Linked DNA regions of Anolis sagrei. The protein of the gene in region 2 interacts with the protein of the main gene of each other region in a pairwise test. Links are inferred from orthologs where the notes say so. Each region holds a gene or a part of one and is shown on either strand. Other genes may lie near its edges.

Region 1 (5,602 bases), on a different chromosome or scaffold from region 2:
AAGAAGAAGAAGAAGAAGAAGAAGAAGAAGAAGAAGAAGAAGAAGAAGAAGAAGAAGAAGAAGTGGTGACAAGAAGCAACCGGAAAAGCTTTCGTGACATGAGGATTTAAAGACAGAACTGCAAAGACTCTGGCACAAGCCAGTAAAGGTGGTCCCAGTAGTAATCGGCACACTGGATGCAGTGCCTAAAGACCTTGGTGTGCACTTAAAAACAATCGACGCTGACAAAATTACCATCTGTTAGCTGCAAAAGGTCATCTGCAGGCATTATTCGGAGATAAATCACACAGTCCTAAACACTTGGGAAGTGTCTGACGTGTGATCAAATACAAAAGCCAGCATAGTGTTCTTGTTTGCTGTGTACTAATCTTGTTATGTATCAAATAATAAAACTTTATTTATACCCCACCACTATCTCCCGTAAGGACTCAGAGTTGCTTACAAAATAGCACACAATGGTGCCATACATACATAAAATACAATACATCAACATATAGAATCAATAACACATTTACATAAAAACATACATATAAAATTAACAAAAACAATCTCTATTAAATAGTATTGGTAAAATGTGGCTATAGTCATTGGTTAGAAAGATCCATAGCAATTGATTTAGCAGCCCAGCTGTATACCCATCAAAATGTAGATATAAGGTACTAAAGTAATTGGCAATCGGTTTGGCTACCAGCTTAAATTTTATTAAAGGCCTGCTGAAAAACCCAAGTTTTTAACTCTTTCCAAAAGTGCTGTAGTGTGGGGTCTTGCCTACGTTCCTTGGGGAAGGAGTTCTGAAGCTGGGGGCCACCACCCCCAGCTTTGGGCCCTCTCCCTCATCCCCGCTAACTGCACTTGATATGGAGGTGGGACCGAGAGGACGGCTTCCCTGGAAGATCTTAGAGCCAACACCGGTTCATAGGGGGAGATGCGATCACAAAGATAGGCTAGACCCGAACTGTCAGGGGTCCTCAAACTAAGGCTCGGGGCCCGGATGCGGCCCTCCAAGGTTATTTACCCGGCCCTCACTCAGGGTCAACCTAAGTCTGAAACAACTTGAAAGCACACAACAACAATTCTATCTCATCAGCCAAAAGCAGGCCCACACTTCCCATTGAAATACTAATAAATTGGTATTTGTTCTTCATTTTAATTATTGTATTGTTTTTAAGTGGTTTTTGCACTACAAATAAGGTATGTGCAGTGTGCATAGGAATTCATTCATGTTTTTTTCCAATTATAATCCCGCCCTCCAACAGTTTGAGGGACTGTGGCCTAGCCTTCTGTTTAAAAAGTTTAAAAAGTCTGAGGACCCCTGGTGTAGAGCATTGTAGCTAATAACCTGCACATTGAATTGGGACCAGAAACTTATTGGCAGCCAGTGGAGCTGCTTCAGTAGGGGCAAGGTGTCTCCCTATAGATAGCCCCAGTTAGTATCCTGGCTGCCGATCTTTGCACCAACTGCAATTTCCAAGCCATCTTCAGAGGCAGCCCCACGTAGAGTGCATTGCAGTAATCCATTCTAGATATAACTAAGGCATGGATCACAATGGCCATAATGCAGCATTTAGCAGAAATGTATAAAATTTAGGAGGAAAGGATCTTGTTTAAGAATTGATCCCCCCCCCCCCCCGGTGATTGTAGAGCTTAAAATACAGGGTTAGTCAAAATGAATAGGCCAATAAGAAAATTAATTTTAGACGAATGTATGTTTATTGTAACCAAACTACAGCTACGTATCGACAGATAAATTATCAAAGTTTTGTCTCACCTTCAGAGATGTTTGATATGGGCGCCCCGTGTGACACGGCAGACGTCCAAGCGATAGTCCAGTTAATTCCACATCCGTTGCAGCACATCCGACGTAATGGCATCGAATGCAGCACATATGCGCTGTTTTAAGTCGTCCAAGGTCAGCGGTAATGGAGGTCGGAACACAGTGTCTTTCACATACCCCCAGAGAGAAAAGTCGCATGGTGTGAGGTCGGGGGACCTGGGGGGCCACAGGAGGAATGGAAGATCAGTCACTCCAGCACGGCCAATCCAACGTCTGGGAAGGTGTTCGTTGAGGTACTCGCGTATACTGTTGTGCCAATGCGGAGGGGCACCGTCCTGTTGGAATACGAAATTGGGCACTTTCTCTTCTAACTGTGGCATCAACCATTCAGACAACATGTCAGCGTACACTATGCCTGTTACGGTTTTCTCCGCAAAAAAGAATGGGCCAAACACGTGACGGTTGGTTATTGCACAGAAAACGTTTACCTTCGGCGAATCCCTTACATGTTCCAATACGGCATGAGGATTTTCAGATCCCCAAAAGCGGAGATTATGCCTATTGACCTTCCCGCACAGGTGAAACGTTGCCTCGTCACTGAAGACCAGTCTGTTGGCAAAGCCTTCCTCCTCTAGTCTTCGCTACATTGATTCGCAAAAATCGTGTCGTTTCGAATAGTCACCTTTTTTCAAAGCCTGCACCATTTGCAATTTATATGGCTTGAACTGCAAACGTTTGCGTAACACGCGCCACACAGTTTTTTGCGGAACGTTCAATTCCATGGAAACACGATTTGTCGACTTCTGGGGACTTCGTTGAAAGGATGCATAAATGGATTCCACTGTGTCTTCGGAGACACACGGTCGTCCTGTGGTTTTACCCTTGCATAAGCAGCCCGTCTCCTCAAATTGCTTTACCCACCTGGAATGTCGATGAGGTGGTTCCTTGCCATACTTGGCTCGAAATTCTCGCTGGACCGTAATTACTGACATTGTTTTAGCAAATGTCATCACACAAAACGCCTTCTCTTTGCCTGATTCCGCCATTTTGAAAACAGCGACTCCTAGCGATGCCTAGCGGCATTAACGTACATGTGTGTTGCTCAAAAAAAACTTTGATAGTTTATCTGTCGCTACGTAGCTGTGGTTTGGTTACAGTAAACATACATTCGGGTACAATTAATTTTCTTATTGGCCTATTCATTTTGACTAACCCTGTACATGTACCAGATTCAAGATCCAAGGGCTGAATCTGGTCCTCTAGATGCTGGACTAAAACTCTTGTATTCCTCATCATTAGTCATCATGACTATAGCTGATGGAAAGCAGCAATTTGTTCTGTTTAGTCAGGATAATAGGATTTGAATTTAGATACAAGACTTCTGGATAGTATATCTTACTTTAAATTGTCTTGTAACCATTCTTCTGAGCCACAAGTACTGTTGAGTTGCAATTCTTACAATCCCTAGACCATGACAGATAATCAAAAATGATGGGAATTGTCATTCAATAACATCTGGGGACCCACAATGGATGAAAAGTAAAGAGCACCAACCACTATGTAAAGAATTATTTTTGGCCCTCTGTATCAACAGATTTTCCATCCATGGATTCAACAGCTCTTTGAAAGCAAACATAAGGCTGATGTGGCGCTTGGTAGAATATGAGTTTGACACCCCTGGCTTAAAGGTTGTCAGGGTTCAAATGAATATCATTCTGCAAGTAAGCCATTCCACTTGAGAAGCAACTCTTGATAAGCACTGTGTGAAAAGTCCAACATTTTCTTTGATGCATGCTTTAAGGACAGTGATATTTATTTTCTGATTTCATAAAATCTGCAGTGAAACAAGTAATCATCACTGGATTGCAAATATCCTGCTGCGACCATCATAGAAGGTTCCACCATGATCATAAATGTACACACTCTTCAAACATAAGCATCCTGATACCCAGTTTCTGCAATCTTAAAGGATTTCCAAAATTGGGTTGATGTCAAGCTTTCAAGTTGTTATTGCTTGACTGAAACAAACCTCTACCTCTTCATGAAAAGCAAGAGGAAGTTACCACTAGAAAAACAAGAAAACCACTCTTTAGACAACACCCACCTGTTATAGATTGAATGTGCCTTGGTGTCCTCTTGCAACAATATTGCTGAAGACTCTTCAGTGAATCCTTGTTAAGAGATGGAAGCTGCTCAATTGTCAACTACATCAGCAATGACAGAAAACTGGAGTAGCAACTTTGAAGAATACCCAACTGAATATGATGGATTGGATTCTATGAATATCTGCCACCTGGAACTACCATTTGCTTACATCTTTATCCCCATTCTCTATTTCCTGAGTTTTTTCATCGGTTTCTTTGGGAACCTATTTGTGATCCTACTGATGGCACGAAAACAAGGTAGCAAAAGGCTTGTGGATACCTTCGTTCTCAATCTGGCCATAGCTGACCTGGTCTTTGTATTTACTTTGCCTTTCTGGGGTTTGTCAGCAGCTCTTGATGGCTGGCTCTTTAGTGAAGGACTATGCAAGCTGAGCAGCTATACCATCTCTGTCAACCGCTGCTCAAGTATCTTGTTCCTGACAGGCATGAGCGTGGAACGCTTCCTTGTGATGACCAAGCGTTGGGATGCCAGGTCCATTGGAACCAGGAAGAATGCCATCACGAGCTGTGGCTGCATCTGGGCAATCTCACTACTTCTAGGAATACCATCACTGGTCTACAGAAATCTGGCCTTCAAGGGAGATAGCAAATATTCATGCCAGGGTGACCCCCCTGCCACCTTCAGTGTGGTCATGCTCAGCTTAACCTTCCTGTTGCCGTTGGGAGTCATCTTGTTCTGCTATTGCTCTATCTTCTCCAAACTTCAGAGCCATGCCAGACTAGGCAAAAGAAGAAACAATGCCCTTAAAATCATCTTTACCATCATTGGGGCATTTGTCTGTTCTTGGCTGCCTTTCAACACCTTCAAGATAATCTTCACTATGGCTCAGAACATTGATCTCTCTTGCCAGGCCCTGAGAACTCTCTTCGGGGGACTCACCATCACCGCTTGCCTGGCTTTCGTAAACAGCTGTATCAACCCTGTCATCTATGTCTTTATGGATCAGCACTTTCGACAGCAGGTCCTGATGTATTTCCCTGGATTTTGGAAAGCAAAGGGAAATATGCAAGCCTCCAGCATGTCCTTTTCATCTACAGAATCAAGTGTTTTGTTTGGCAGCAGGAAAAAGCTCCCACCCGCCACGTCTGTTCAGATATGAAACACAGTAAAAGATGTGTAGGTTTGCAAAAGCCTCCAAGATTTGGCACGTTTTTGGCTTGGACTGCTGAGAATAACCACAGGGTTTCTGAGTTATGTTGATTATGAAAAAGAGGGTAAGGAGATGGTCTGTAAATGTGGGTGGAAATTGATATATTTTGACTATCAGTTGTAAATTACAATAGGAAAAGAATTTATTTTTATCATTATTTCTAATGTGTATGAATGAAATCAACTCCCCACTTATATAATTTGACCCCATTTCTATTGCATTATAAGAATAGAAATTTAACATATACCCATCATTATAAAGCTATTTCTGCTTGCTAAAATTGAGATATGCTGGGACTGAATAGGAGAGACATGTACAAGTGTATCTGCAGCTGAAATGTGAATTATTTTGCTTTTACTTTCAATTACATATGTTCTCACCACCACATTTTTGAATGTTTGTATCGTTTTTACAAAATTGATGAATAGATCTTGATTGCTCATTGAAAATATTTAGCATGAAAGAAAAATAAATTACCTTATAATTCTAGACCAGATTTTTAAAACGCATTA
Region 2 (6,833 bases):
TTAAAATACCACCATAAAAGCAGCTCAGATGATAATTTATCTTTTAAAACAAGATTCTAGTTCTTTGTTTCAAGAAAAAAAAGGCTGCTGAACAATCTGAAACCTGAAGGACTGGAGATAGGAAACAGAAGTCTGTTCTTAAATGTCTTTTTTAAAAGCAATACATTGTGTCCCATGTCCTCCCAGTTTTATCCTGATTATTACTTTTTTCTGTGTATACTTCAATTAAAATCCATCTATGTCATTTCAAATTCTTCCTTTTAGAAGAGCTGCTTCCCAATCCCTTTTTGACAAAGAGGTTTCTTGGATGACACATTTTACTTCCTCACTAGAAGCAGCAATAGGAAAGATTACCAGGCCAATTAGATTTGACACAGATGACCAAGACGGTTTTAAATGGTGTATTTTAATCTTGCGATAAATGTTTTTAATGTTTATGCATGCGTATATGAATTCTTGAATGTTTGCCGTATATATGCTGTGCTCCGCCCTGAGTTCCCTTTGGGGTGAGAAGGGTGGAATATAAATGTTTTAAATAAATAAATAAACTAGGCAAGAGTAGTGCTGCTCCTTGAAGCCACACTTTTCCCTCCATAAAGCATACAACAGGTAAGCAACAAAAGGTTTCCTCATTCCAGTCAGGGAGACACATTCCAAAACAAGCTGTTAACCAAAAAGAAACATTCTACTTGGAGCCCTATCACATCACACTATTAGCATTATTATTCCACTTTACCTGCCATTAAAATATTCTGTGGCTTGTAGTTTAATGAGGGCCAAGAGTTTTTTTGTCGGAGAATTCTAAATGCTCCTACCTAAAGTGGAAAACCCAGGATCGTATATGATATTACCATGGCAGTTAAAGTGTGATAGGGTCCTGAGACTGAAAGAGGAATTCCCTTGCAATAAAAAGAGAACAGAGAGTCAATCCTATTTTGAAGTAACTAGGTTGAATATCCTCTTGCTTGGTAATTTCCATTATGTATGGCAATTGCTGTATTTTGTTTGTAATTCCAAGTCAATAAAAACAATAAAAAATTGAGAAAAGACACGTCTTTCTCCTACAATTTTTCCCCAGTAAAGTAACATTGGATTTGCTGACTGTTTCCAGCTACTACTGAAATGGTTTGTACCTGTTTGTTCAGAATCACAGGCCTTGAATGTGCATTTCAGAACATTTTCTTCAGAGCAGTGGTCTGCATTCAGGATGTTTTTGTTGCTAACACCAGAGTTGTCCCATGGTACTGCTAAGAAACACATAAATTAGTTTTTTTCCTCTAAGCCTGGATAATCTGCAAACCATTATACCCACAAAGATCTAAAATAAGCTCACTTGACTAAAAAGACATAATGACTTGCCATTTGTCCACATTACAGCCCATTTCTCTGTACTCAAAATCCAATATTAGGCCTTTTCTTCATCTCTCCCATTCATAATTCCCCACTGTCCATTCTTTTTACTGAAATGGTATGTCTCATATCTACTCAAAGTGCTTGCATCTCAAATAGGGTTTCTTCATTCAAACAAAAATTGCTGAGCAACTTAATGGCTTAAAAGCCAGATGAGTATGTATGAAGCAGCATGTACAGTAACTCTATTTTTCTCTCTCTCTCAGAATACCCTAATTTGTCATAAAACCAAATGTGAAGAGCGGATAAAGCATCCAACTGAAAAGTATTTGATGTACAATTTGCATGACTCACACTCCACAGAACTAGATGAAGAACTGCACCAATGCAACATTACAATAATTTCTACTAGGGATTGAGTTACAAACTAAATTGGAAATCATAGTAAAGTAGATCAGTGACATCAGACCAATGACTGCCACACAGGTGTCGCCTATTTTGTGGCACAGAACTGAACTAAAATGGAGAATGACTGAAACTAGAGAAAGCATTTGTATTCATATTAGAGATATTACAGTGGCAGGCAAGTGGCAGGCAAAAACCTGGAACCTCAAGCCATGGCTGATACCGAATGAGACTCCTCCCGGCACACAGAAGACTAGGCGACTTGGAAGATTCTTAACAGACTGCGCTCTGGCACCACGAGATGCAGAGCCAACCTTAAGAAATGGGGCCACAAAGTGGAGTCCACCACATGTGAGTGTGGAGAAGGGCAAACCACAGAACACCCATTACAATGCAGCCTGAGCCTTGCAACATACACAATGGAGGACCTTCTTATAGTAACTCCAGAGGCACTCCAAGTGGCCAGCTACTGGTCAAAGGACATTTAATAGAATGGCAAATTTTTAAACTTTGTGGTTTTAAATACATTACAACTATACCCTTCATTTGCTTCTGATACGATAAATAAAAAAGAGATATTACAACAATAAAAAGCAAGCTTTATCTAGAGTTGGACAAGAACTGGAAAGAACACTCAGCCCCAAGGTTTTTCATTGACCAGCCCACAAAGGCCCACAATCTATGTATTTGTTATTCATTTATATGTCAACCTAAGCGCTCGCTCCCTCTTATACACACACACACATTGGTAATAAAGCACTTTGCATACTAGCCCAAGTTTGTAAAATAATCATTTGGGATTTTGGGTCAAAACAAGGGAGAGTAAGTGTGTTGCATGCCAGTCTACTGTGCCATGATCTCTCTGTAGCTCTAGAAATCAGGTACGCTTGGAACATATAGGGGGAAAAACAATATTTAGATAATCTAAACATTGATTTGAGAAATGTGGTTCAGACTTGCATCCATTTTTACTGGAGTCACTATGAATGGCCTGAGTTAATGTCGTTTAGGGTAAGTGGCACAAACATCAAAATTAGGAAACAACAGCAGCCCATAGCTTTGAAACCAAAACTGTACTGTTAAATAGGAATTACTTTTTTTCAAATTAACGTGGATGACAGGATGGTTCTAAGATCCAACACCAATAAAATAATAAACAATTACAAGATTGAATTTTTCAGGAACAACTAATATTTACCTTCTGTTGATAAGACTGCAGTTAACTGTGCTACTGCTGCATTTTCAAAAGACTTGTGGTAAATAATATCCTCCATCACCAGATAAGTGCCTTTTCAGTCAGAGCTTTATTTATTCCACAGAAATATTCTTTTCCTTCAAAAAAAGAAAGAATGTGTTTTATTTAAGCGCAGCCAGCAAACCAGGAACTTGGTTCCAGCCTTCACAAAACAAGAGACTTTTCGGGAGAATTGTTTGCCAGGTTTTGAAAGTACCGTAATAAAACACCTGGTTGAATTACCTCAAAAATATAGGTATGACAATGCCATCAGTTCAAAAATCTGTACACTAAATTGCTTAAAGCTGTCCCTGGATTGAAACACTATACTCTTATTTATGCAAACCAATGAGATTTTGGCCTGCATAAATAGGAGTATAGTGCCTAGATCTAGGGAAGTCTTGCTACCCCTCTATTTTGCCTTGGTCAGACCACACCTGGAATACTGTGTCCAATTCTGGGCACCACAATTGAAGGGAGATGTTGACAAGCTGGAATGTGTCCAGAGGAAGGCAACTAAAAGGATCAGAATGTTGAGTATAAGCCCTATGAGGAACGGCTTAAAGAACTGGGCATGATTAGCCTGCAGATGGGAAGGCTGAGAGGAGACATGATGGCCATGTATAAATATGTGAGGGGAAGTCATAGGGAGGAGGGAGAAAGCTTGTTTTCTGCTGCCCTGGAGACTAGGATGCAGAACAATGGCTTCAAACTACAGGAAAGGAGATTCCACCTGAACATTAGGAAGAACTTCCTGACTGTGAGAGCTGTTCAGAAGTGGAACTCTCTGCCCCCGGAGTGTGGTGGAGGCTCCTTCTTTGGAGGCTTTTAAACAGAGTCAAGTGACTGGCTTGACTCTGAAAGAGATGGGGGTAGTGACAGTCAACAAGGAGCTCTGGTGTGGGCTGGTCCATTAGGTCACAAAGAGTCAGAAGCGACTGAACGAATAAACTACAAACAGAGGCTGGATGGCCATCTGTCGGAGGTGCTTTGAATGCAATTTTCCTGCTTCTTGGCAAGAGGTTGGACTGGATGGCCCACGAGGTCTCTTCCAGAGGTAGTGAGGATGCTTGCCACAGATGCAGGCAAAACGTCAGGAGAGAATGCCTCTAGACCATGGCCATATAGCCCGAAAAAACCTACAACAACCCAGTGATTCCGGCCATGAAAGCCTTCAACAATACATCGTTACTAAACTGTACCCTTAACGGAAAGTATATAATTAAAGAGAAAGATGAACCCTCAAAAGACTAAGTCAACAATCAATTTTTTAAAAAAAATTCTGCTGTTGGTTGAATTTTTCGATAGTTTTTTTATTACTATTATTTTATTATTATTATTATTATTATATGATTTTTTTCTCCTTCTTTCTCTTTTTTGCCCTACTTTCCTATAGCATTATTATTCCTCCACTTTACATGCATAGAAAAAAAAATATCCCTCTACTTTCCCTCCCTTTCTAACCTTAATAAAATAGATTTTTAAAAAAAGAAGACTTCAATCCCCTTTTCAGCATTTCACTTCCCCTCAAAATAAATGACATAGGTAAAGGTTGTCCCCTGACATTAAGTCCAGTCATGTCTGACTCTGGGGTGTGGTGCTCATCTCCATTTCTAAGCCGAAGAGCCCGCGTTGTCCATAGACACCTCCAAGGTCAGGTGGCCAGCATGACATATTGCCAGATAAAGGCTTCAAAAACCTCAATTATGCCTGCCTGTGATATAGTCACTTCAGAGAGTGTTTGAAACAGGCATGGGCAAACTTTGGCCTTCCTCCAGGTGTTTTGGACTTCAACTCCCACAATACCTAACAGCCTACCGGCTGTTAGGTATTGTGGGAGTTGAAGTCCAAAACACCTGGAGGAAGGCCGAAGTTTGCCCGTGCCTGACGAAGGCAGAGTTCCCATTAAAATGGGCCCCTTCCCCATGCCTTTCAACCTTCTTCAAGGAGCCATCTTGTTACTCCTTGCGCAACTGAGGGGAGGCCAAGCTATATTTCAAAGGCAACCCCTGAAAATTATTTCTTCCCTCACTGAAATCTCCTCAGCCATTAAACAAACAAACAAAACAGCCTCTTCGACCAAAAGCAAAGTGGACTGAAAAGCCCTTCCACCTTTTGAGGGGAATTCAGAGTGAAAATGCCTCCTTCCCTGACTAAACTGAGAGGGCCTTGCTGAGGGAAGAAGGAGACACTCCTAAAAGGGCGGGAAGAATAAGGCCCCTTCTACACTGCCATGTAAAAACCAGATTATCTGTTTTGAACGGGATTATATGGCAGTGTAGACTCATATAATCAAGTTCAAACAGATTATATAGATTATATGTAGGTTATATGGCAGTATAGAATTTATTATTTATTTATTTCGAGTTTTTATATACCGACCCTCTCACCTTCAAAGAGGGATTCGGACCGGTTCACAACATGTGTTAACATACAAAAAATATACAATAACAACACAATGCCACTTAATTACATGATTAAAATATCAGCACCATACACATTAAAACATTATCATCCCAGTTAAAAGAGCCAAATCGTCTGACACCATCACAATCCCATTCATCATCCTCCTTTCATGTGGGCAAAGAATTAAATCAGTTGTCAAATGCCGTGTTCCACAACCAGGTCTTTGTTAGTTTCTTGAATGTCATGAGGGAGGGGGCAGTTCTGATCTCTAATGGCAGGGAGTTCCAAAGTCAAGGGGCCACCACCGAGAAGGCCCTGTCCCTCGTCGCCACCAGCCGTGCTTGTGCAGGCGGAGGGACCGAGAGCAGAGCCCCTCCGGATGATCTTAGTGGTCTTGATGGTTCGTAGGGGAGAATACGTTCAGAGAGGTAAACAGGGCCGGAGTCGTTTAGGGCTTTATAGGTTAACACCAGCACTTTGAATTGTGCTCGGAAGCTAATCGGCAGCCAGTGGAGTTCGAGTAACAGCGGAGTGGTGTGCTCCCTGTACCCCGCACCCGTTAGTAATCTGGCTGCTGCGCATTGTACTTGCTGCAGCTTCCGGGCAGTCTTCAGAGGCAACCCCACGTAGAGAGCGTTGCAGTAATCTAAGCAGGATGTAACCAAAGCGTGTACTACCGTGGCCAAGTCATATTGGAAAGGGCCCCAGTCTCTAAATGCTACAAGATCCCTATGCATAAGCTCTCATAATGTTTTCTCCATCATCTAGACATTTTGCTGCCTAATTTTTTGTTTATGTAATTTATATTAACTGTTTTGTATTGATTGTTTTTGTTATTGCCTTTGTTTGCTGATGTACTGTGGGCTTGGCCTCATGTAAGCCGCACCGAGTCCCTTGGGGAGATGGTAGCGGGGGTATAAATATATTATTATTATTATTATTATTATTATTATTATTATTATTATTATTATTATGCAAGGCTATCCATGGCAATCTCCCCCTAGTCTTTTTGCCTGGTTTATGCCTTTAAATACCATATTTCTGCTCCCTTTCTTCTTGGTCATGCTACATCTACATTATACCTTTTTTTTCAAAATTAGCACAAGTTTTTATTGGAAAAGAGTCTGTGAAACATGATCCACAACTATGAAAATGGACAAAATATGGCTACCAGTATTTAAAAATATCTAAAATGAGGACAGTAAATAAAGAGCAATGTTCAAAAAACAGGGAAATTCCAGACACGTAACACATCCCAACAAAAGATTTCCTCAGTCAGAAAGCAGCCAGGCTTTGAAGCTGCAAGGCCATTCAGTGCTAATCAAGGTGGCCAGTTGCAATATTCACACTTGCCTCAAACAGACAAGAGTTCAATGTATTGTCGAAGGCTTTCATGGCTGGGATCACTGGGTTGTTGTAGGTTTTTCCAGGTTATATG

Evidence for each region. The genes of interacting proteins can lie anywhere in the genome.
Region 1: the proteins of KASH5 (region 2) and GPR25 interact in binary tests that used the Homo sapiens proteins (3 or more experiments, as listed by UniProt). The two-hybrid records come from large-scale screens. The link is inferred for Anolis sagrei from reciprocal best matches to the Homo sapiens genes KASH5 and GPR25.

What each region holds. Positions count from the first base shown.
Region 1 is NC_090024.1:185,441,874-185,447,475, forward strand, and holds GPR25 (probable G-protein coupled receptor 25), read left to right. Parts: upstream 1-3,956; coding exon 3,957-5,039; 3' UTR 5,040-5,089; downstream 5,090-5,602. UniProt on the Homo sapiens protein: Orphan receptor.
Region 2 is NC_090026.1:22,017,401-22,024,233, forward strand, and holds the start of KASH5 (protein KASH5), read right to left. Parts: upstream 3,030-6,833; coding exon 2,954-3,029; intron 1,248-2,953; coding exon 1,134-1,247; intron 1-1,133. UniProt on the Homo sapiens protein: As a component of the LINC (LInker of Nucleoskeleton and Cytoskeleton) complex, involved in the connection between the nuclear lamina and the cytoskeleton.